6 linked regions of the Macaca mulatta genome follow. The protein of the gene in region 1 purifies or fractionates together with the protein of each later gene. This does not show direct contact. Links are inferred from orthologs where the notes say so. Each region holds a gene or a part of one and is shown in the gene's direction. Other genes may lie near its edges. The genes, in order: C16H17orf49, SMARCA1, BPTF, HMGXB4, SMARCA5 and RBBP7.

Region 1 (4,206 bases):
CCACCGCCACTTCAAGAAGAAATGATACGAAGAAGTGCCGATTCTCCCTCCCCTCTTGCGCACTGTCCCGTGACGATGACGCCTCCAGGGAGGACGATAATCTGGGTTCCTGGGAGAGAAGGCTTGGTCACTATTCCTACCCTTGCCTCGGCCACTTGTCTCAATGTCACCACCTCACGCCCTGTTCCAGGTGGCTGAGTCCGAATCCAGTAACCACCACCTCGTTTTGGTTCATCTTAGGCACGGGTGTGGTAGCAACATTAGAAATGGGAGGGGTTTACGAAGTGAACTTGAGGTCAGGTGCCTGAATTCAACAACCTACCCATTCCCCTTTTCCAGATAATGCTCGGAATATTTTTCAATGTCCATTCCGCTGTGTTGATTGAGGACGTTCCCTTCACAGAGAAAGATTTTGAGTAAGTATTCGGGTGGGGGAGGCGGGCTGGGATCAGGTGGGAGGTGGCGAGGTCAGATTACGTCTGGGAGGTCGGGTGCTTGGGGCCCCTAGGTTAGGGAACAGGGAGAGGAGAGCTGCTTTCTTGAGAATGTGGTTAGGAGCTAGGGAGTCAGACCTCAGCGGCCATTCCAAACCCACCACTTTAGGTGTGGCCTCTTTACGTATTTTACTTTTCTGAGCCTCTCAGTCCACCTCTGCAAAATGGCTGCTATGACAGATCTCACCCCATAGGATTGTCAAGAAGATTGAATAAAGTAATACACGTAACAGCGCCTAGACAGGTGCTGGGCACATACTGCTCAGCAAACGTTGGCTGCTATTAACGTTTGACACCTTTGCTTCATTCCCACCCCCAGGAATGGCCCCCAGAACATATACAACCTTTACGAGCAAGTCAGCTACAACTGTTTCATCGCCGCGGGCCTTTACCTCCTCCTCGGAGGCTTCTCTTTCTGCCAAGTTCGGCTCAATAAGCGCAAGGAATACATGGTGCGCTAGGGCCCGGGCGCCCTTCCCCGCTCCAGCCCCTCCTCTATTTAAAGACTCCCTGCACCGCGTCACCCGGGTCGCGTCCCACCCTTGCCGGCACCCTCTGCGGGACTGAGTTTCCCGGGCGAGAGACTGAATCTCTTCTTCTCCCATCTCTGGCATCCGGCCCCCGTGGAGAGGGCTGAGGCTGGGGGGCTGTTCCGTCTCTCCACCCTTCGCTGTGTCCCGTATCTCAATAAAGAGAATCTGCTCTCTTATGCCCTGTGTCTGTGCTTCAGTGGGGGCGAGCACGGGGCTGAGGCTGGAGGTCGGCCTCTGCCTGGGGAGTCCCGACCCCTGAGCGGAAGTGGAGTGAAGTGGTGCGGAAGTGAGGCGAAGGCTTCCCCCTTGGCCTGGGCGCGCCAAGCTGTCGAAGCGACTGCATCTGATGGGGCGGGGAGCCACAGGGTTGAGCCTATCCGCTGCGGGAAGGGCGGGACTTCCTGCGCGGGGGCCTGAGCCGCTCCGTCTCCCTGCTCTCCGTGGTCCCGGCTCGCGTGTAGCGGCGGCGGCGGCGTCTCCGTGAGGAGGCGCGCGGGGCCATGACGTCAGCGTCCACAAAGGTTCGACCTCCCCCGCGGACAGCGCTCCCTGGCGGCCACGGGAGGGCGGGCCCCCCACTTGGCTCGTGGCTCTTCCGCCCCGGGCGGGGGGCGGGGGGCGGGCGGGAGCCGAGCCTGGGGTGGGGCTAGGGGCTCCAGGCGGGACGGGGAGGGCGGGCGCCGGCCCCCCGTGACGCTGCCCCGCCCCCAGGTCGGAGAGATCTTCTCGGCGGCCGGCGCCGCCTTCACGAAGCTCGGGGAGCTGACGATGCAGCTGCATCCTGTGGCCGACTCTTCCCCTGCGGGGTACGTGAGCCCGGACTGGGACGTGGACGCTGAGAGCGGGCGCTTGGACTCGGTCACAGACACGGACCCTCTCTAGCACAGGGACAGACGTTAGTTTCCCTTTGTGCCTGGCACAGCACAGAGTAGGTGTTAATAAATGATCGTTGGATGAGGGAATGAATGACAGATAAAAATACAGACAGGCCTATGGCCCAGACTCCTATTTCACAGTTCTCCCTGCTGCGAACGGGTCGACCACAAACCACCGCCACTCCCAACCACCCCAGTTCATGGAATTCCCCCAGACGGCTGCAGGCTGTTGGTGGGTCTGTTTGAAAAGCCCTTCTTGGCGAGTTGGTTTCAGTGTGCTGTGTACAGCAGCCGGTTAACGTTCATGGTGGAAAGGGGTGTCTAAGGTGGAGGTGGTTGTGATTTCTTGTGATTGGGGTCCTCCAGGTTCCCGCAGGGCCCTCAAGAGCTTCCCGCCCGTCCCCCGCCCCTATGGAGGACCTCTTTATGCATCCGTGGAAGGGGTCCCAGAAGTCGGAAGGAGGCGGCTGGTTGACTGTGGGATGCATAGCCTGTGGGCTGGCTCCACACCCCCCCTCCCATTTTTGCTATCCCCCCTCTCCCCTTCTGACAGTGCGAAGTGGACGGAGACGGAAATAGAGATGCTGAGGGCTGCTGTGAAGCGATTTGGGGACGATCTTAATCACATCAGCTGTGTCATCAAGGAACGGACAGTGTGAGGGAGGGTGGCTGCCAGAAAAGGGCGGGTGGGCAGCCTTCTTCCTCCTTACCCAAGGTTCCATCGTCCTCAGAACTCCTTTCCAGCTCAGCTGCTTCCCTACTTTGTCACTAGTTTTTTAGAATGCCCTTGAGAACTGAAAGAACAGAATTGTCACAGTTGGTCAGAAGTTCCTAAAATGCTGTGGTAGTCCTTCCAAGAATGTGAATTTAGGTTGCCTGAGATGCTCAGTTATTGTATTTGATGATGGAAGTCCCCTGGTTATTTATATAAATTTTGGGGGACTCCACTGCAGTGTTTCCAGGGATATGGTGATCCTGAACTAGTTGATCAGTAAATCCCAATCCACCTGTAAATCACCAAGCCTTACCCGATGTCTCTCCCGGAAGAGAATGAGGAGATGGGCCTTTCCCACTACTCATCTCAGGGACTCCACTCTCCACATTCCACCCACCCTGAGTGAGTGTAAAACTTTGGGAAAGTGAGAACCCTCCCAATGGGTTGGGGCCCCGACCTGGATTCTTTTCAAGGGACTCCCAGAACCCCTTCACCTCCCCTCCCTTCTTCTGTTAGTCTCTCTGATGACTCCTTTCCTAACCTCTTCTCTCTTTTCTTCAGGGCTCAGATAAAGGCCACTGTGAAACGCAAGGTATATGAAGATTCTGGCATCCCCCTTCCAGCTGAGTCACCCAAGAAAGGGCCCAAGAAGGTGGCATCTGGTGTCTTATCACCTCCTCCAGCTGCCCCTCCTCCCAGCAGCTCCAGTGTCCCCGAGGCCGGGGGTCCCCCCATAAAGAAACAGAAGGCCGGTGAGGGCTGTGGACTTGCTACCTAGGGGTTAAAAGTCCATCTGAGGTTCAGTGAGAGAATTGGGCCTGGGTCAAAGAAGGGTCAAGCTCTCTTCCTGTCCCTGTGGAGGTTCCCAGAGAGGGGCAGAGGGGAGGGGAGGCACGAAGCTTTGGGAAGCTCGGGGCTGGGGGAGAGGCCGTCAGGGGAACCTAGAACCTAGCTTATGCCCCCTTCCCAGATGTGACACTCAGTGCTCTGAACGACTCCGACGCCAACAGTGACCTGGTGGATATTGAAGGGCTAGGAGAAACTCCTCCAGCTAAGAAACTCAACTTCGACCAGGGTAGGAGTCCTCCTCCTCCCACACAGCTGACAGGGTGGGAGAGAAAGGGCTCACCTGGATGGCAGGGCACGGTCTCCGCAGGGGCCCCTCCCTCGTACAGGGGTTTCGGAAGAGAAGGTGCTCTCATACACAGCGCAGGGCATTGGGTCAGTACGTAGCAGGGTGTTTCAGGGAGCTGGGAGTGGCCTCGGAAGCACACTGGGGGCTCGCTCCATCTCGGCCCATTTTACTTCCTGTTCCAGACAGCCTGACCCTGGATTCTGGCCTTCTCATGACCTCTGCTGATCCTCCTCTCCTCTCCTGCTGAGCCTTCCACCTCTGACCTCTCACTGTTCACGCTGGACCTGTGGATCTCCTGGGACTCCGAGCAAGGCCTGCACGAGAGAGGGCTGAAAGGCTGCTGGGGCTGCCACCTCGCTGTGCCCGCATAAGCATCTGCCCCCGACCCCCTTGACCTTCATCTGATGGACATTTTTATACAGAAAACAATAAAGATTTCCCTCTCAGCTTCGTG
Region 2 (3,500 bases), on another chromosome or scaffold:
TAATGTTTAGGTGCATTGCCACTTCTCCATTCTGCTCTGTGTTGCCAGGGTAATATGGGTTCTTTTTTCTTTTTACTGCCAAACTTTTTGTTTGTTCTGTATATTACAATAGTATAAGGATAGACTTTGTTCCAGAGTATAATCATATCTGAAATCTAATGTGGCATTTACTAATGAGTTTTAACTATGGAATATCATGTGGCACAATAATGGTTTTTACTTCAATAGGATCATGGTAGCAGAAATGTGGAGAGGACCATGTGTCATTCTGACTATGATTTTATATTGTTTACTCTTGAAATAACTCTAAAGATTGATAAGGCTGTGTATATACAGCCTTAGTAATTAATTTTTCTCGTCAGTGTACTCTTAGTTTGTCTCTTGATTTATAGGTCCCAAGGAATCCTGATATCCCAAATCCAGCTCTGGCTCAAAGAGAAGAGCAAAAAAAGATTGATGGAGCTGAACCTCTTACACCAGAAGAGACTGAAGAAAAGGAAAAACTTCTCACCCAAGTAAAGTATTTTCAATGGCTGAAATATTTACAGTCAATCGATAGAAAAAAAGAAAATACAGATCACACTTAATTTTTTTTGTATGGGCCTAGTATCCTAGTTTGACACACCAGCAAAACTCAGGGCTATTTTGTAAACATGTTTAGACCAAAATCCCTATTTTTAAAAATTGATCTTATAGAATATGCCCTTTTGGAAATACTGGGTAGTATGTATATGCAAAATATAAGTGTAAAGTATTAGCAATATGACACACATTTTGCCAATTGTAATAAGGTCAGTGAATCCACATTTGAATTCTGATAGACAGTAGTTATTAACATATTCTTTTTTGTTTTTTGAGACAGTCTTGCTCTGTCACCCAGGCCGGAGTGCAGTGGTGCAATCTCAGCTCACTGCATCCTCCACCTCCCGGGTTCAAGCGATTCTCCTGCCCCAGCCTCCTGAGTAACTGGGATTACAGGCACCCGCCACCGTGCCTGGCTAATTTTTGTGTTTTTAGTAGAGATGGGGTTTTGCCATGTTGGCCAGGCTAGTCTCAAACTCCTGACCTCAAGTGATCCGCCCACCTTGGCCTCCCAAAGTGCAGCTGATATTACAGGTGTGAGCCAACGGGCCAAGCCTGTTATTAGCATATTCTTGAAAATTTAAATTTCTTTTGTTTATAGGTGTGAATTGTCTCCAGAAGTTATATTCCATTAATTTTTTATTAATAGAATAATTTCGTAATTTTCAAAATTATTTTTATTTTTTTTTAGAATTTTCATGCAATGATATTTCTGAAACTTTTTAAGGTGATCATTGTATAACAATTATTAAATTAGAAAGGCTTCCATTTGAACAAAATATTAATGCTTTCAAGTTACTATTGCTATAACGAGTTTTACGAGTGTTCTACTTCTAAAATAAACTATGGAAGGTAAAAAGAATTTCAGCACAGAAGGCTTGAGAAAGCCAAAATGTGTACTTGTAAGACATTACTTTAGTATAGAGGGTTGCCAGCAAGATTTATTTATTCAACAAATTTTGAACAATGTGCAATGCATAATAGCAGGTAATTCTCCGCATTAATTATTGAAAGATAGTTTTTATATTTATATGTTATTTATTATATAGGTCTTTGCTGTAACATGTAATTTTATTGTATGTGTATTGGATTTTCACAAATTACATTCATAAGTTTTTGAACCAAATGCCTGGAAGTAATAAAGTTTAGTTTGAAAATATAATTGCAGATGGCTGAATATTAGAACTTACCACAGGATAAAATAAAACATTTAAATATTCATCTTCTGTTTTCAAAATGTATTTCCTGAATGCAAAAGTGAAGTTACGGCTTTAGAATGCTACATGGCTTGGAGTATATTGTGAATGTATGGTATAACATGAATATACAATCTCAACTGAGATAATATTTTAGTTTGTGATTAGAAATATAATCAGTTTTCTGCCCCTCCTAGTAGATGAATTCATTTTTGTCCTTCTCTGCTACCTTAAATAATTAATCTTTTTCAAAAACCATGGCAGTACATAGGAACAAAATGTGGGGTCATCTGAAATCTTTATCGACTAAAAGCCAGGGATAGAGTTTTGCAATGTCTAGAGTATCACGTTTATGTGAGTTGGGGCTCGAGGAGTGGAAAACAAATTTTTGGTCTTGTGACTTCACAGACATGCTAATAATGCCAAGGGAATTTAAAACACTGGCTAAAGTGTTTATGTTTTAGTAAAGAAATTGAGTGGCTCCAATAACATTCTGCTTGTAGAAGTTCTATTTAGGAACATAATTTAGAACAGAAATTATTTATTCCCACTAGTTCAGAATGATGTAAAGAGTTAGAATTTTTTTTTTTTTTGCATTCTCTTTTGGTTATTCTCAGTGTTCTTTTGATTTAGTGTATCCACATTTCTCTCTCTTAATTTACATGGGAACAGATCTGTGAAAAAAATCATTGAAGTACTAGAATATCACGACTTCAGCATTTATATTAGCATTTTTATTTTCATGCATTTGTATTTTAATGTAGTAGGCATCTATAAAATATGAAATTAAAAACTACAGAAAATCTTAGAACTATATATCAACTTTAAGTACTTGGAGAGGATTACATTCTCTTTGTAATAGAAAAGCAGTTATTTCTGTAACAACTCTCACTCAACTTTTGATTCCAACATAAAATATGTGCAATTTTATGAGGAGAAACATTTTAAGTCTTTTAAAGTGTTTTAAAATGTATCATTGTATAGAAGTAAATAGGACAATAAATGGATTTATTAATTTAACCTCTATTGATAATGCTTAACTTTTTGTTCACAGGGTTTCACAAACTGGACTAAACGAGATTTTAACCAGTTTATTAAAGCTAATGAGAAATATGGAAGAGATGACATTGATAACATAGCTCGAGAGGTAGAGGGCAAATCCCCTGAGGAGGTCATGGAGTATTCAGGTTTGTATATAATTTGAAACATGGTGTTGTATTTTAACGTTATTCATTTATGTAGCACCAGTTTAATTGTACCTTTGTTCAGAGATGTTTTAAACTTTTATGAATAAGACATAGATGAGAGTATAAACTGTACTTGTGTTTCTATGAAAAGATTATAAGATTTATCCTAACAAACTGACGGCTGTTGTTTCTATCACCTAGCTAAAAGAGCCAAATAAAGCTCGATAAAACAAGGGTGGCTATTGGATAAGCATTGACAAAATTAGTTTCCCACCTTCCCACCTCTGGAATTTGGTCCTCTTCTGGTTCAGTTCTGAGATTCATATTCAGTGGACTGAATTCATGCCTTTCTTTCTAGGTCGTCCTTAATGTAGAGAGTTCCCGTCAGGCCCATTTAGATGCTCAAACACCCTCAGAGTTCCAACCTTTTCCAGAGAGTTCCTGTGGGTCCCATTAACTTGAGGCTAGTGGGCATAGAGCTGAAAAGGTTGCTTTAATCAATCTGTTAACTGGTCCTCGAATCGTCTCCCTCTCT
Region 3 (3,500 bases), about 69 Mb from region 1:
GATAAAAGAAAATGTTCACGAAGTCCCAAAAAAATAAAAACAGAGCCTGATTCTGAAAAAGATGAGGTAAAAGATTCAGATGCTGCAAAAGGAGCAGACCAAAGTGAAATGGATATCTCAAAGATTACTGAGAAGAAGGACCAAGGTAAGGAGAGTCAGCTGTGGAGGGCAGCCTGGGGGTGATAAGAATGCAGTGGATCGGGGTCCCACCACAGGAAAGGTACTGCGTTGTGTTTTCTTGATAATAGCTTTATTAAAATGTAATTCATATCCCATACAATTCACCCAATTAAAGTGTAAATTCAGTGGTTTTTAGTATAGTCACAAAGTTCAACCATTATCACGTCAATCTTAGAACATTTTCATAACCTTGAAAAGAAGCCTCATTCATACCCATTAGCAGTTACTTACCAATCCTTCCCCAAAGTGCCACCAGCTTAGCGGTCTTCTTTCTGTCTCTCTGGATTTGCCTATTTTGGACAGTCCATAGAAATGGAATCAGGCAATATGTGGTCCTTTGTGGCTGGCTTCATCCACTTAGCATGTTTTTAAGGTTCATCCATGTTGTAGCATGTATCAGTATTTTCTTTCTATTTCTGAATAATACTCTGTATGGATATGCCACATTTTGTTATCCATTCATCAGTTGATGGACATTGGGCCGTTTCCTCTTTTGGCTATTATGAATAATGCTGCTATGAACATTCATGCAGAAGTTTTTTGTGGCCAAGCGTTTTCACTTCTCTTGGAGATATACCTAGAAATGGAATTACTGGATCATATGGTAACTCTGTTTAACCTTTTGAGGAACTACATTGTCTTTTGTAACAAGTCATTTTTTAAAAAACTAAATAAGCTAAATAATGCATGTGGCTAGAGATACGTTATAACTGTAAAAGTCTATACAAAATATTACATGAAGGTACTAGCGTGTGCAGTAGCCTGCCACATACTAAGTACTTTTTCATTATGGCATTCCATCGTTTTTAGATACTAAGGATCAGAATATTTAATTATTTTGGGGATGTATGTCTCATAAAGTTCAACACTATCTATTGACCAGGAACTTTGAAATATATGTTTAAACTCTAGAGAGAAAATGAGAAAAATAGATACTTTAATATTTTTGGCTAGGCACAGTGGCTCATGCCTGTAATCTCAGCACTTTGGGAGGCTGAGTTGGGCGGATCACCTGAGGTCAGGAGTTCAAGACCAGCCTGGCCAACATCGTGAAACCATGTCTCTACTGAAAATTCAAAAACTAGCCAGGCATGGTGTCACATGCCTGTAATCCCGGCTACTCGGGAAGCTGAGGCATGAGAATTGCTTGAACCCAGGAGGCGGAGGTTGCAGTGAACTGTGATCACGCCGCTGCACTCCAGCCTGGGCAACAGAGTGAGACTCCATCTCAAAAAAAAAAAAAAAAGTATAAATTCCTCCTTTCAGAGTAAAAGTTACATTTCTATAAATGTCTTTGTTTCACAGATGTGAAGGAGCTTTTAGATTCTGACAGTGATAAACCCTGCAAGGAAGAACCAATGGAAATAGACGATGACATGAAAACAGAGTCACATGTAAATTGTCAGGAGAGTTCTCAAGTAGATGTGGTCAATGTTAGTGAGGGTTTTCATCTAAGGACTAGTTACAAAAAGAAAACAAAATCATCCAAACTAGATGGACTTCTTGAAAGGAGAATTAAACAGTTTACACTGGAAGAAAAACAGCGCCTCGAAAAAATCAAGTTGGAGGGTGGAATTAAGGGTATAGGAAAGACTTCTACAAATTCTTCAAAAAATCTCTCTGAATCACCAGTAATAACAAAAGCAAAAGAAGGGTATCAGAGTGACTCGATGCGACAAGAACAGAGCCCGAATGCAAATAATGATCGACCTGAGGACTTGATTCCGGGATGTTCAGAAAGTGATTCCTCAGTTCTTGGAATGAGGGATCCTAGTCGTACCACCAACAAACTTTATCCAAAAGATCAAGTGTTAGATGATGTCTCCTTTCGGAGCCCAGAAACAAACTGTCAGAAAGAAAATTCCGTTGAAAATGACATAGAAGAAAATGCCTCTGACCCTGCCAGGAAAGGCCAGGAACCCAGTAAGAGTAGAACAAAAGGAAATGGTATTTTCATTGATGACTCTAAACTAGCCAATGCAGGTGATATTGGTTCTTTGATCTATAGGAACGAAAAACTGCTCATACAGGAGGAAAACGACACCATCGTTTCTTCTTCCAAGAGTGCTTTACATTCATCAGTGCCTAAAAGTACCAATGACAGAGATGCCACACCTCTGTCAAAAGCAATGGACTTTGAAGGAAAACTGGGATGTGACTCTGAATCTAATAGCACTTTGGAAAATAGTTCTGATACTGTGTCTATTCACGATAGCAGTGAAGAAGATATGATTGTTCAGAATAGCAATGAAAGTATTTCTGAACAGTTCAGAACTCAAGAACAAGGTATTGAAGGCTTGGAGCCATTAAAATGTGAATTGGTTTCTGAGAAGTCCACTGGAAACTGTGAGGACAGACTGCTGGGTAAGGTAACTGAAGCAAATGGTAAAAAAACAAGTCAGCAGAAGAAATTAGAGGAGAGATCAGTTAATAAATGTAGTGATCAAATAAAGCTAAAAAATACTACTGACAAAAAGAATAATGAAAATCGAGAGTCTGAAAAGAAAGGACAGAGAACAAGTACATTTCAAATAAATGGAAAAGATAATAAACCTAAGATATATTTGAAAGGTGAATGCTTGAAAGAAATTTCTGAGAGTAAAGTAGTAAGTGGTAATGTTGAACCAAAGGTTAATAATATAAATAAAATAATCCCTGAGAATGATATTAAATCATTGACTGTTAAAGAATCTGCTGTAAGGCCGTTCATTAATGGTGATGTCATCATGGAAGATTTTAATGAAAGAAACAGCTCCGAAACAAAATCACATTTACTGAGTTCTTCAGATGCTGAAGGTAACTACCGAGATAGCCTTGAGACCCTGCCATCAACCAAAGAGTCTGACGGTACACAGACGACCACACCTTCACCATCTTGTCCAGAAAGCAATTCAGTTAATCAGGTAGAAGATATGGAAATAGAAACCTCAGAAGTTAAGAAAGGTAGTTCATCACCTGTTACTTCTGGAGAGGAATCTAATCTCAGTAATGACTTTATTGATGAAAATGGTCTGCCTGTCAACAAAAATGAAAATGTCAATGGAGAATCTAAAAGAAAAACCGTCATCACAGAAGTCACTACGATGACTTCCACTGTGGCCACAGAATCAAAAACTGTGATCAAGGTAGAAAAAGGCGATAAGCAAACTGTGGTTTCTTCCACAGAAAATTGTGCGAAATCCACTGTCACAACCACCACTACAACGGTGACCAAGCTTTCCACACCTTCCACGGGCAGCAGTGTGGACATCATCTCTGTAAAGGAGCAGAGCAAAACTGTGGTCACCACGACAGTGACAGACTCCTTGACCACCACAGGA
Region 4 (3,500 bases), on another chromosome or scaffold:
GGAATATTTAAGTTTTTTGCCATTATTTCTTAAATATTCTTTGCCAAAATTCATGCATGAAAATTCATGCACAGAAAGTGTTTAATTTGAGGTCTCCAGTGGTTCTTGGCGTTATCAGCCTATGAAAACCAATATAATCTGTATATTTTTCTTATACACTCAGTATTTTAGTGCCTTTGAGAGGGTATGCTGTTTTCAAATAAATGGATATAATTCCCTATATTTCCCTTGTCCTACCTGCGCCCCTTTTGGAGTCAGCACCACTTGGGTGGAAAGGGGAGGACAGTAGTTTCCACTGAGAAACTTTCATCCTTAAATGCTGGAACATGAAAAACTGGCTACATTATGTATCTTGCCTCCTCACATTTTTATCTGAGGCCTGACCTTATGTCCCCTTCGTTTCCTGTGAAAAGGCCCTTCGAACAGGCAGTTCTCCAGTTTATCTTTAAAACAATCCAGTTAATGTAGTTTCATTACTCTAGTTTCTGTTACTTTGACCAAATCCATTCTTTATTTCACTTCTCAGAGAAGTGAAGAAATGCTTTATGTTTCTTTTCTTATAAATCATTCTTCGTAATGCTTCATTTTCCTATTCAGGCCTACCTGTACATTGTATTTTATCTGATTTGTGCAAATAAGTCTTTTTAATGTAACTTACGAAAGCTTCCCTTGTTAATCAAATTCATCTTTTCTTTCACAAAAGTTCCATGCTTCAGTATTGTCCACAGTTGCCTGAAGGAATTAGTAATGTGTCATTTAAGTGTCCTTCAGTATTTCTAAATCCCCTTATAATAATGAAGGTCAAATTAAATTTAAATAAATTATCAATTAGATTAACTTTGTAAGCATCTGACTTAATTGGATGAGAACATTGCCAAAATATTTAATATGTAATTTTAAATTTCCTGAAGGACTTGTGACATTACTTGTTCTTAAAACTTTTAAAGAACTTTACCTTGGCTGGGCGCGATGGCTCACACCTGTAATCCCAGCACTTTGGGAGGCTGAGGCGGGTGGATCATGAGGTCAAGAGTTCAAGACCAGCCTGGCCAAGATGGTGAAACCCCATCTCTACTAAAAATACATAAATTAGCTGGGCGTGGTGGCAGGTGCTTGTAATCCCAGCTACTGGGGAGGCTGAGGCAGGAGAATCACTTGAACCTGGGAGGCAGAAGTTGCAGTGTGCCGAAACTGCCACTGCACTCCAGCCTGGGCAACAGAGCAAGACTGTCTCAAAAAAAAAAGAAAAAGAAAAAAAAAAAAACTTACAGTGCATTTTATAGCATTGTTATCATCAAAGTCAAAATGGACATATAAACTCAAATGCCAAAAAAAGATTGTAAAAATTCAATAAAACTCAATACAATATCTAGAACATTTAAATTATAGCAATTCTTATTAGTGAAGATCTTATTAATCATAAAAGTTTTATGACCAGTGGACAAATGATAAATATCTCCCTATTTTCACCTAGCCTTTAAGAAAGCCTTGGTGGTGGTGACAGCTGTCACATGGTCAACTGATGTAAGGAGTGTACCTGCTTTTACAATTACATAAATTTGAACAAATTCATGTAACCCCCCCCCAAAATGCAAAAGAAATTATGCTCTAAAGATATTTAATATTCCTATACAGTTAATCATTTCTGTTTAAATTACAATGCAATAGATGTTACCAGTTCACCAATCCAGTTGGTAGGATTTTATGGTCTTCAAATGTTTGGTGTGATCTGTCTTCTCTGCGTCTTGCTTTACCTGTGTATTTTATAACCAAGATTGAACCTATCCCTCTAACTTAATGTTGGTTTCTACCCTGTCTCAGTGTTGTCAGTCCTGTTGGCATTTCAGAAATTCTCATTAATTTTGAAAATATTTTTTGTATTGGAGGTATTTTATATACTTCCCCAAATGACAACTTTAATTCATGACTGAAATCTAATTAAGCCTAGTGTACTTCCTGCAGTATCAACCCCACTATATTTACAAAGAGAATGAGGAGGTGACAAGACACTCCTTTATTTCTTGCTGCCCTTCCAGTCGGCCCTTGGATCACTACACATTTCCATCTGGAAGGTTGCTTCTCCTCTGATTTCGCATTACAGGAGGGTTTTCCTTCTTTGTTTCTCAGACCTGGTCCTGTAGACGGGAAGGAGCCTGGACACAGTGACACATTCTCAAAGGCCCTGCAGGACCACCATGGCTTATGATGACTCCGTGAAGAAAGAAGGTATGACCCCATAATCTGAGAAGCATTCCAAAGGGGGTATCCTCTTCAATCCTTGCAGCCCATGGATATAGAGACCAGGACTGGGCACCACAGCCTGGACTCCCAAGTGATGGTCTAGAGCACTGTTATGACACTCAGCCTCCACGCCATCCCCAGACTGGGCCCATGGAAACGAAAACCAGGACAGGGGTTCCAACACGAGAGTCTGAAATATGAGTCTCTTAGTTTATTGGGGTGATCCCCTGCAGCACTCTTGGTCCTTGCCAGCTCCAGTGTGCAGGAGTCTGGGGATAGGAATCACATCCTGGACTCCCACAGAGAGCAGCACAGCACATGAATCATGAATCCTTATTCTTTTCAGCCTTTCGTCTGCAAGTCTGTGTCCACCTACCAAATCACAACTAAGAAATCATATCTGAGGTCGCACATGGGGCCTTTGCATAGCGTGGAAACATTGTTTCTTCAGGTTTGATTCTTGTATTTGCAGCCAGGTCATCAAGAAATATTCTGTTCCCCTGGGTCTAGCCCTGTATTTCAGTGGACTTGATTGAAACATTGTTTTAATTTGGAAATAGAGGAACTGTTGCATTACCTGCATGGTGATTTGGTCGTTACTTACTTGACATTCTCATTTCCTTTCCCAAATAAACCTGTGCTTCTCAGATTGTTTTGATGGTGATCATACCTTTGAGGACATAGGACTTGCAGCTGGCCGAAGCCAACGAGAGAAAAAACGTTCTTACAAAGATTTTTTAAGGGAAGAGGAAGAAATTGCTGCTCAGGTCAGGAATTCTTCCAAGAAGAAGTTGAAGGTAAGTCCTAAAAATTTAAATTAGGAAAGTCTTAAACTACTTTTTTTTTTTTTTCTTCTTCTGATGCAGAGGTTTTTTTTGCTCTTGTGGCCCAGGCTGGAGTGCAGTGGCGTGATCTCTGCTCACTGCAACCTCCACCTTCCGGGTTCAAGCGATTCTCTTGCCTCAGCCTCCCGAGTCGCTGGGATTAACAGGTTCCTGCCACCAAGCCCGGCCAATTTTTGTATTTTGTTAGAGACAGGGTTTCACCATGTTGGCCAGGCAGGTCTCAAACTCCTGACCTCAAATGATCCACCTGCCTCAGCCTCCCAAAGTGCTAGGATTACAGGCCTGAGCCACTGCACCAGGAAAGTCTTAAACTACTTCTTACCATATTTCCTAATATTTGAAGAAGGAAGTGTTTTTTAATAACTTTAGAAAAGAAAAATAAAATGTTGTGCGCATCTGTTTTTATTATTTCTT
Region 5 (4,246 bases), on another chromosome or scaffold:
ATTAGCCGGGCATGGTGGTGCACACCTGTAATTCCAGCTACTACGGAGGCTAAGTCATGGGAATCCTTTGAACCCGGGAGTTGGAGATTGCAGTGAGCCGAGATCACACCACTGCACTCCAGCCTGGGCGACAGAGAAATTCTGCCTCAAAACAAAACAAAACAAAACAAAACAACCATTATTCTACATTAACGGTTGTTAAAGGTTAATAGTTCATTTTCTGGGTGTACGATAGTTTTAAAGACGTAACTTTTAATACTGGATTCAGCCTACTGCTGTTAGCTTTTTGCAGTTACATATGAAGAGTATGATGAACATCATTGTAGGTATTTATCTTTGCACATATCCTTAGACATTTCCTTACAGTCTAAGAACTAGCATTTCTAGTGGAGTGGGGACATTTTTCCAGATGTCAATTAAAAAATTATTCCATTAGTTAAAAAATTTGCAGGCTATATATTCAAAGGAGATCCCTTTTGTTTGGAATTCAACATAACCAGTTAGCTCAAACCTCAACTCTTGAAAAATGTGCCTCCTTTATTCAACAAACATTTATAGAATACTGGATATGACGAATAAAAAAAGATAAATAAGACCCTGTGCTGGGCAGATAATCTACTGTAGTATGCAGATTTGTTATCAAATAGACTACAATGTATTTAAATTTTGCAGGAGATGAATGCACAAGGCCCTTAAACTACATTGAAGGCTGCCTAAGGCAGTATACAAAATTAGTGCTGAACACTTGAGAAAGTGCGTTTTAATTTTAATGTTTGATGCTTGAGGAAAAGATTACATCATACCACCTATCTTCCCCACATACTATTTGTGTTTCTCACTTACATGGTAGTGTGCATGTTATTTGCTTACCTTTAGCATATAAATTCAGAAGAAATAGCATTTAACTCTGTGCTTAAAGAGGATATTTAGAAATAACTGACGCAGCTAACATGAGAAGGCAAAAAAAACAAAACAAAAACCAAAAAAGAAAAAACTAACGGACTTTTTTTTTTTTTTTTTTTTTTTTAACAAAACAGTGAGACGTCACTTGGGGTAACCATAACGTCGTCAAGGCTGTGGCGTCACGCCTCTAAGCGGATACGGCAGAAGTTTTGGGGTCAGACACAAGACTTCCAAGTTTGAATGGGCAGCGCAAAACTCAGGTAAGTTTTCCAGTAGTGCCGCCGATCCCAGCCAGGCCCGGAAGACACAACGAGAACCGTGAGCCGTTACGAAAGCCTAAAACACTGAGCTCGCGTCCTGCCAGACAGCAGACGCACAAACCTACGCCTCCGAGCGCTCCCTCGAGGTCCCGCCTACTCTTCTCTCCCGAGCCCGCTAGAGGTCTGGAGGAGGAGGGGCCAAGGGTGAGGAGGAGGGGCCAAGGGTAAGGAGGACAGTATGAGCATGCGCACTCAGTACCCAGTCAGTGAACCAATAAGGAATCTCGCGAGGGTTGAAAGTCGGTGGCGTAGGTAGTCGTCCTGGATGCTGGCGAGATAGACGATATCTGCCAGAGGAAGAGGAGGAGGAGGCGGCGAAGCGTTTTCCCAGCCTCAGTCTCTGTTTCGTTTTCCTTTTCCCTTCCCCCAACCCTCCGCCCTTCTCTAAATCAGCCCGCCTTCCTTGACCTCAGTGACCCGTCTGGCCCCGCCCATCCTCGTCGACGTGATTCCCGCCGTGAGGTAAGCGCCGGTGGAACCTAGAGCCCCGCGGAAGAGCAGAACGTCTGGGAGTGTGCAGCTCCTGGGCCCGGCTCAGGCCCGTCGCGGAGGCGCGGCGCGGGGGAGCGCTCGGGTGGGAGTCTCGCTCCTCCACCAGTTTATTGCGACGTAGCCACCCGGGCCTAGGCCTCCCCGTCCATCCCCGCCGGACTCGGCCTCTGGCAGCAGCGGGTGACGCAGACGGAACATCATGTCGTCCGCGGCCGAGCCTCCGCCACCCCCGCCTCCCGAGAGCGCGCCTTCCAAGCCCGCAGCCTCGACCGCCAGCGGCGGGAGCAACAGCAGCAACAAAGGCGGCCCCGAGGGCGTCGCTGCGCAGGCGGTTGCGTCTGCGGCCAGCGCGGGTCCCGCAGACGCCGAGATGGAGGTGAGGGCAGCTTGCGGCGTGGGGAGCGGGCGCAGCGGGGAGGAGGAGCTGGCTCCCTCGCCGGATCGTGGCGATCGGACGCAGAGCCGGGCTTCTCTCTCTGCACCAGACTCAGCTTCACACCCTGTGGATACGAAATGATGCTCTCACCCTTGCTCCCTTGTTCTTAACCTATTGGAGCCAAGCAAAATGGATTTCCGGCTCCTCACGTTGAAATTATTTGTCTCTTTCGTGAATCTTGACAAATCTTTGAATGCTCTCAATGAACAGATGTTCTTGGTTACCGTGGCCCAGGGGGACCCATCTTTTTTTCGCACTAGACTCCCATAATTCCCTCTCCTACCTCTGAATGTGGTTTTTAGTTTCCACCAAACTTCGGGGAAGGGCGAGGAGATGACCCCTTAGGAGCGGGATGCACGGGCAGGGTGAAGGAGGCATTTAAAAGCAGCGCGTCCGAGGACTTGGGCCTCTTTTTCTTCTTCCCGGTCCTTGCGGGGGCGGTATCTGTTCTGGGCAGAAACAATGGCGAGAGCTGGATGGCCGAGTGCGCAGTGGGGATAAGCGGGGCGCAGCTGCTTCTGTGAAGGGAGAGGAAGCCCCTCCCAGGCACTGTTCCACTGGAAGGGAAGCAACCAAGGCAGCAGCAGCTGTCTCGGATCCCCCATCGAATTTAGGGGGGATGAGTAAGTGTAGGAATGAATTAGAGAACCAGGCGCAGTTGATTGGCTCTCAGTCCGGCACTTTTTCTCTTTTTGGCCTCTCGCCTTAAAAAAAAAAAAAAAAAATTAGTACCACTCGGCTCCCGAGACTTCTGGGTTTGGGTTGTCCAGAGGATGCTGACGGTACTGAGGGGGCTGGAAAGATGGGGAAGCTGCCAGGCGGGTAAATTGGATATGCCTCCAGGCTTTGCAATATCTGGGGAAAAAGTAATTGCTCCTTCCAATTGTTATTCTTGGCCTTCGACCTGTTTTGAAATATTTTGTAAGTCGGAGCCCAAAGATTTCTGGGATTTTCCTATCCTTAGAATGAAGGTAATACTGCTCCGAAGATGAGTCTTGACGCACAATCGTTGTACAGTGGGGAAATGGGAGCGTAGTTTACCATTGAGGCATTTGGCACAGTAGTTTTATTTGGGTAGCTGGGGTTAGGTAACATTAATGTTAGTAATCTTTTAAAGCACTTTTAGTGTGAGGGTAGGTTTAGTGACATAGGAACTCCTGATGGTTCCTGTAGTTTTGAGTGATTAGGATAAGATTTCTTTCAAATTAAAATATATTCAGTGTTGCCTGTTTTCCCCTTAAGGAAATGGTTCTTTTGGGTTACCAGGGCTCTTTAACTTGAATTCCGGTTCCAAGGCTTAAGGGGTTTGACACAAAGCAATTGTGTGTAAATGTGCAGTTCTGGACAAAAATCTGTTCATAGTTATCCTCAGCCTCTCAAAGGGGGGTCTGCCATCCAAACTTTGGAAAAATAAATTTTCACCAGAGGTCTTGTTAATATCTGAACACAGTAATTTTAAGCCAAAAGCAAGTCAACTTTTTTGACTTGAAGTTGTTATTTTAAATGAAAATTGATTTTAAGTTTAAATATGAGTATAGATGATGTCACTACCGTATTAAATTAGTGATATTTTCATTTGCCAGATGGGGAATTTGAGTTCTGCTAGGTAGAACCTGTGATAAAACTCAGGTCTGCCTTTAAAAGTGAGTCTTTTCCCACCCATCTTACTCTGCCGTGTTCTTACCAAAAAAACGTATTTGGCAGTTCAATTTATTGAATAACATAGTTATTTTTACCTTCCTAGTATAGAAATATTAGGAATTTTATTTTTTATCCATCTTATCACTGACTCATTTTGTTGTTGTTGTTGTTGTTGTTGACAGTGTGATTTTTTTTGTCTTAAAATGCACCGTCAGTTTCCTGTTCAGAATCACTGCAATTCATGATCAAAACTAAGTTTGAGCACACATGCCTAATATATGTCACAACTTAATCTGTTTTGCACTTGGAAAATGAATATTTTATAAATGACTTTTTCTTGTTTGGAAGTATGATCTAAGGTGTTTTTCTAAAATCACAGAATAAACTCAGCATTCATGAATTTTGTGTGCGTGTGTGTGTGTGTGTGTGTGTGTGTGTGTGTGTGGCAAAGCTG
Region 6 (3,500 bases), on another chromosome or scaffold:
TATTCAGTTTACGTTTATATGTGTGTGTGTGTGTGTATTTTTTTTTTTTTTTTTTTTGAGACAAAGTCTTACTCTTTCACCCAGGCTGGAGTGCAGTGGTGCGATCTCGGCTCACTGCAACCTCTGCTTCCTGGGTTCAAGTGATTTCCCGAGTAGCTGGGACTACAGGCGCCCGCCACCACAGCCAGCTAATTTTTTGTATTTTTAGTTAGGGACAAGGTTTCACACTGTTAGCCAGGATGGTCTTGATCTCCTGACCTTGTGATCCGCCCGCCTCAGCCTCCCAAAGTGCTGGGATTACAGGTGTGAGCCACTGCGCCTGGCCAATATTCAGTTATATTTTTTAATGGATGTGATCATTAAGACAGTGACTTCAAAATTTTAAGTTTGAGAAAACAAAACTCTTGTGTTCAAAGTAAATCCTACTTGGAAGCGCCCCTCCCCCCCCTTTTTTTTGGAGAGCTCTTCAGGTTGTTTTAGCTAAAGGAATCAGGAAATTTGAGTATCTTTGTAGCAGAAGGGTTAGAGCCACTGGAGTCCATGCAATGGGATGTTGAAGGTCAAAGTGAAGCAGGTTTGGAGCAGTCTCAGGAGGCAGGAGACTATTGGATCAGGAGGGGTCTTAGCATGCTGAGGCACACTTCTTCCATTGACACCATGGAACAGAAGGTGCTATGAGGAAAAAGGGTCCTTTTGCATGTTGTCACGTGAGAGTAGTGGGTAAAGGAGCTTTGAAGTAATCGTGGATTTGAGATACGGTTTTTTCAGCCGCACTGCAATAGTAAGCTATGTTTGCTTCAGAGAGAACAGCTAGATACTAATATTAAGACATGGAAGCCAATGTTCATTAAGCATTCCACATAGAAGGAGCTGCCTGGAACTGAGAAATGGTTTTCTCCTTTTGGTGGTTGCTCCAGGCCCCGGTCTGTTTTACTACTTATCAGCCTGGCTCCAGTAGGCATTTGTGCTAGTTGTCCCTGACCTGAGACATAGGGTGAGCTAAAATGGAATGTGCAAAGAAAAGGCAATATAGGTCAGGAAGAATAACACAATTGTAGTGTGAACTCTCCTATCTTTTTAAGCCTCAGCAACTAATTCAAGTTTTTTATCTATGAGCACAAAAAAGAATGTTCTTGTTTGCTGTATTTGCTTAGATATTCTCTATTTGTATTCTTTCTGCTAATATGTTGCTACTTCTTGGAAGTTACTGTGCTTTTTATATGGCTTTGTTACTTTACAAGGCCTTTTTCATGATTATTTAATACTACAGTCTTATTCACACACCGTCTTATTCACACACCAGATGGGCGGAGAGGTTAACCTTGGCATTGCACTAGCAGTTAAACCAAGGATGCTAGCAGGGCCAACGTATGTGTGTTAAGGGACAGGTAGGGGTTAGCATGGGTTTCACACTGATTTGAGGATGCTTCTGACTTTAGACTCAAAGGGTGTTCATACTCCTGAGGGTTAAAACTTTTCCTGTTTTGATGAATCCTAAAATAAGATGCTAAATCAGTGCAGCACTTCCAGTGAGTTGTATTTGAACTAAAAAGCTGTTGGTCTGCTTATTATATGGTTATTTGAAATTTCAGTGAATAACTGTATCATCTTCATAACTGAAAGAGGACAGTTGTTTTAGATCCAAGGTGGAACTGAATTAAGTTGCATAAGGCAGCTACCAATGTTTTCCAGTGCAAATGGGCTTTAAGAATAAATTGGGCCGGGCGCGGTGGCTCAAGCCTGTAATCCCAGCACTTTGGGAGGCCGAGGCGGGTGGATCACGAGGTCAGGAGATCGAGACTATCCTGGCTAACATGGTGAAACCCCGTCTCTACTAAAAATACAAAAAACTAGCCGGGCGTGGTGGCGGGCGCCTGTAGTCTCAGCTACTTGGGAGGCTGAGGCGGGAGAATGGCATGAACCCGGGAGGCGGAGCTTGCAGTGAGCCGAGATCACGCCACTGCACTCCAGCCTGGGAGACACAGCGAGACTCCGTCTCAAAAAAAAAAAAAAAAAAAAAAAGAATAAATTGATGTGGCAAATGAACCCACATTTTTGGATTTTCTCTATGCATGTCTCTGTCTTTGGCTTGTCAATTTGTGTTGTATTCTGCCAGGTCAAAATCTGTTGGGTTGATTGAACTAAGTAATTTGTGAATTTTAATCCTGAGTGTGTGTGTGTTTCTTTCTCCTCACATTAGAATTTGGTGGCTTTGGTTCTGTAACAGGAAAAATTGAATGTGAAATTAAAATCAATCATGAAGGAGAAGTAAACCGTGCTCGTTACATGCCGCAGAATCCTCACATCATTGCTACAAAAACACCATCTTCTGATGTGTTGGTTTTTGACTATACAAAACACCCTGCTAAACCAGGTACGTAATAATAAAGTCAGGTCATTACTTGAGCAGTTTTCTTGATTCAAACTGGTAATGTTTTTAAGTCAAAGTAGCATACTTTGTAATATTTAAAGGTTTAAAAATTACTTTGGGGGGTCCCATAACCATCCTCAAGTTCAGGGATTTGCCAGAACTGCCTAAAAGCAGCTTATACTAACAGCTAAAGTTTATTACAGCAAAGGATCCAGAGCAAAAGTAGGAAGAAAAAGATATACATCAGGGGAAGTCCAGAGAGGTTAGCTACAGGTGTCTGAGTCCTTCCCATCCAGGGTCACGTGGGACATACTTTGTCTCTAGCAGCAAACCATAGGAACATGTGCCAAATGTCTCTACCCAGGGCAGCCCATTTGAGTTTCAGAATCTGGGATTTTTGTGGAGGTCTGTTGGCATGGGCACATCCTGTTCTATGACCAGCCATGGTAACAAAATTGAGAACCCCAATAGTGAAGCCAAATACATTGTGAATCTTGCTAAACAATCCTACAAGTCTTGACAGGTTCCTATGGCATACCCCACTGCTCTGGGCTTACACAACTTTACCAGTCAGTGACGTGAAGAACTTTCTGAGGGTCACATTCCCAGGGGTTGGCTAAGGGTCATTTATGGTTGCAGGCTACCCTAGAGGCATGCAAGGACTGAGCAACCAGACCTGCTGTGTTAGAAATATTTCTAAAAAATTGGGGAGTTGGGGGGATAGGGTTACCACTGCCCAAATTTGTAGGATAGCTATAGTTTTTAGTATTTTTGTGTTGGGGATAATATTAGGTTTTCCAAAGAAACCAATCGTTTAATGGTCATGAGGCTCAATTTGCATTGGGTATTAAGAACGAAGCAAAGAGAACAGCTTTTTAAAGTGGTTATGGGTCAGACCAGATCTTGTTCATGTGCAATTGCTGTAATGGCTCACTCAATGAAGGAGTGAGAATTTATTCTCACCAGTTCTGATAAACAGAGAACAACTTAATGTTTTTTCATCTTTTCTTAGACCCAAGTGGAGAATGTAATCCTGATCTCAGGTTAAGAGGTCACCAGAAGGAAGGCTATGGTCTCTCCTGGAATTCGAATTTGAGTGGACATCTCCTAAGTGCATCTGATGACCATG

What was found.
Region 2: the proteins of C16H17orf49 (region 1) and SMARCA1 purify together in Homo sapiens (affinity purification with mass spectrometry; 4 studies listed by BioGRID and IntAct, with this or other methods). This does not show direct contact. The link is inferred for Macaca mulatta from reciprocal best matches to the Homo sapiens genes BACC1 and SMARCA1.
Region 3: the proteins of C16H17orf49 (region 1) and BPTF purify together in Homo sapiens (affinity purification with mass spectrometry; 5 studies listed by BioGRID and IntAct, with this or other methods). This does not show direct contact. The link is inferred for Macaca mulatta from reciprocal best matches to the Homo sapiens genes BACC1 and BPTF.
Region 4: the proteins of C16H17orf49 (region 1) and HMGXB4 purify together in Homo sapiens (affinity purification with mass spectrometry; 4 studies listed by BioGRID and IntAct, with this or other methods). This does not show direct contact. The link is inferred for Macaca mulatta from reciprocal best matches to the Homo sapiens genes BACC1 and HMGXB4.
Region 5: the proteins of C16H17orf49 (region 1) and SMARCA5 purify together in Homo sapiens (affinity purification with mass spectrometry; 5 studies listed by BioGRID and IntAct, with this or other methods). This does not show direct contact. The link is inferred for Macaca mulatta from reciprocal best matches to the Homo sapiens genes BACC1 and SMARCA5.
Region 6: the proteins of C16H17orf49 (region 1) and RBBP7 purify together in Homo sapiens (affinity purification with mass spectrometry; 3 studies listed by BioGRID). This does not show direct contact. The link is inferred for Macaca mulatta from reciprocal best matches to the Homo sapiens genes BACC1 and RBBP7.

What each region holds. Positions count from the first base shown.
Region 1 is NC_133421.1:8,489,038-8,493,243, forward strand, and holds C16H17orf49 (BPTF-associated chromatin complex component 1), read left to right. Parts: upstream 1-1,406; 5' UTR 1,407-1,527; coding exon 1,528-1,548; intron 1,549-1,738; coding exon 1,739-1,833; intron 1,834-2,455; coding exon 2,456-2,557; exon of another isoform or gene 2,558-2,696; intron 2,697-3,178; coding exon 3,179-3,369; intron 3,370-3,587; coding exon 3,588-3,692; intron 3,693-3,746; exon of another isoform or gene 3,747-3,934; coding exon 3,935-3,999; 3' UTR 4,000-4,202; downstream 4,203-4,206. Other genes in the region: RNASEK (ribonuclease kappa), read left to right, coding at 340-416, 814-955. UniProt on the Homo sapiens protein: Component of chromatin complexes such as the MLL1/MLL and NURF complexes.
Region 2 is NC_133426.1:135,929,608-135,933,107, reverse strand, and holds part of SMARCA1 (SWI/SNF-related matrix-associated actin-dependent regulator of chromatin subfamily A member 1), read left to right. Parts: intron 1-392; coding exon 393-515; intron 516-2,832; coding exon 2,833-2,965; intron 2,966-3,500.
Region 3 is NC_133421.1:77,673,487-77,676,986, forward strand, and holds part of BPTF (nucleosome-remodeling factor subunit BPTF), read left to right. Parts: coding exon 1-145; intron 146-1,485; coding exon 1,486-3,500. UniProt on the Homo sapiens protein: Regulatory subunit of the ATP-dependent NURF-1 and NURF-5 ISWI chromatin remodeling complexes, which form ordered nucleosome arrays on chromatin and facilitate access to DNA during DNA-templated processes such as DNA replication, transcription, and repair.
Region 4 is NC_133415.1:16,281,771-16,285,270, reverse strand, and holds part of HMGXB4 (HMG domain-containing protein 4), read left to right. Parts: intron 1-2,127; 5' UTR 2,128-2,195; coding exon 2,196-2,226; intron 2,227-2,889; coding exon 2,890-3,038; intron 3,039-3,500. UniProt on the Homo sapiens protein: Negatively regulates Wnt/beta-catenin signaling during development.
Region 5 is NC_133410.1:152,330,259-152,334,504, forward strand, and holds the start of SMARCA5 (SWI/SNF-related matrix-associated actin-dependent regulator of chromatin subfamily A member 5), read left to right. Parts: upstream 1-1,446; 5' UTR 1,447-1,914; coding exon 1,915-2,091; intron 2,092-4,246. UniProt on the Homo sapiens protein: ATPase that possesses intrinsic ATP-dependent nucleosome-remodeling activity.
Region 6 is NC_133426.1:16,527,653-16,531,152, reverse strand, and holds part of RBBP7 (histone-binding protein RBBP7), read left to right. Parts: intron 1-2,200; coding exon 2,201-2,374; intron 2,375-3,383; coding exon 3,384-3,499; intron 3,500-3,500. UniProt on the Homo sapiens protein: Core histone-binding subunit that may target chromatin remodeling factors, histone acetyltransferases and histone deacetylases to their histone substrates in a manner that is regulated by nucleosomal DNA.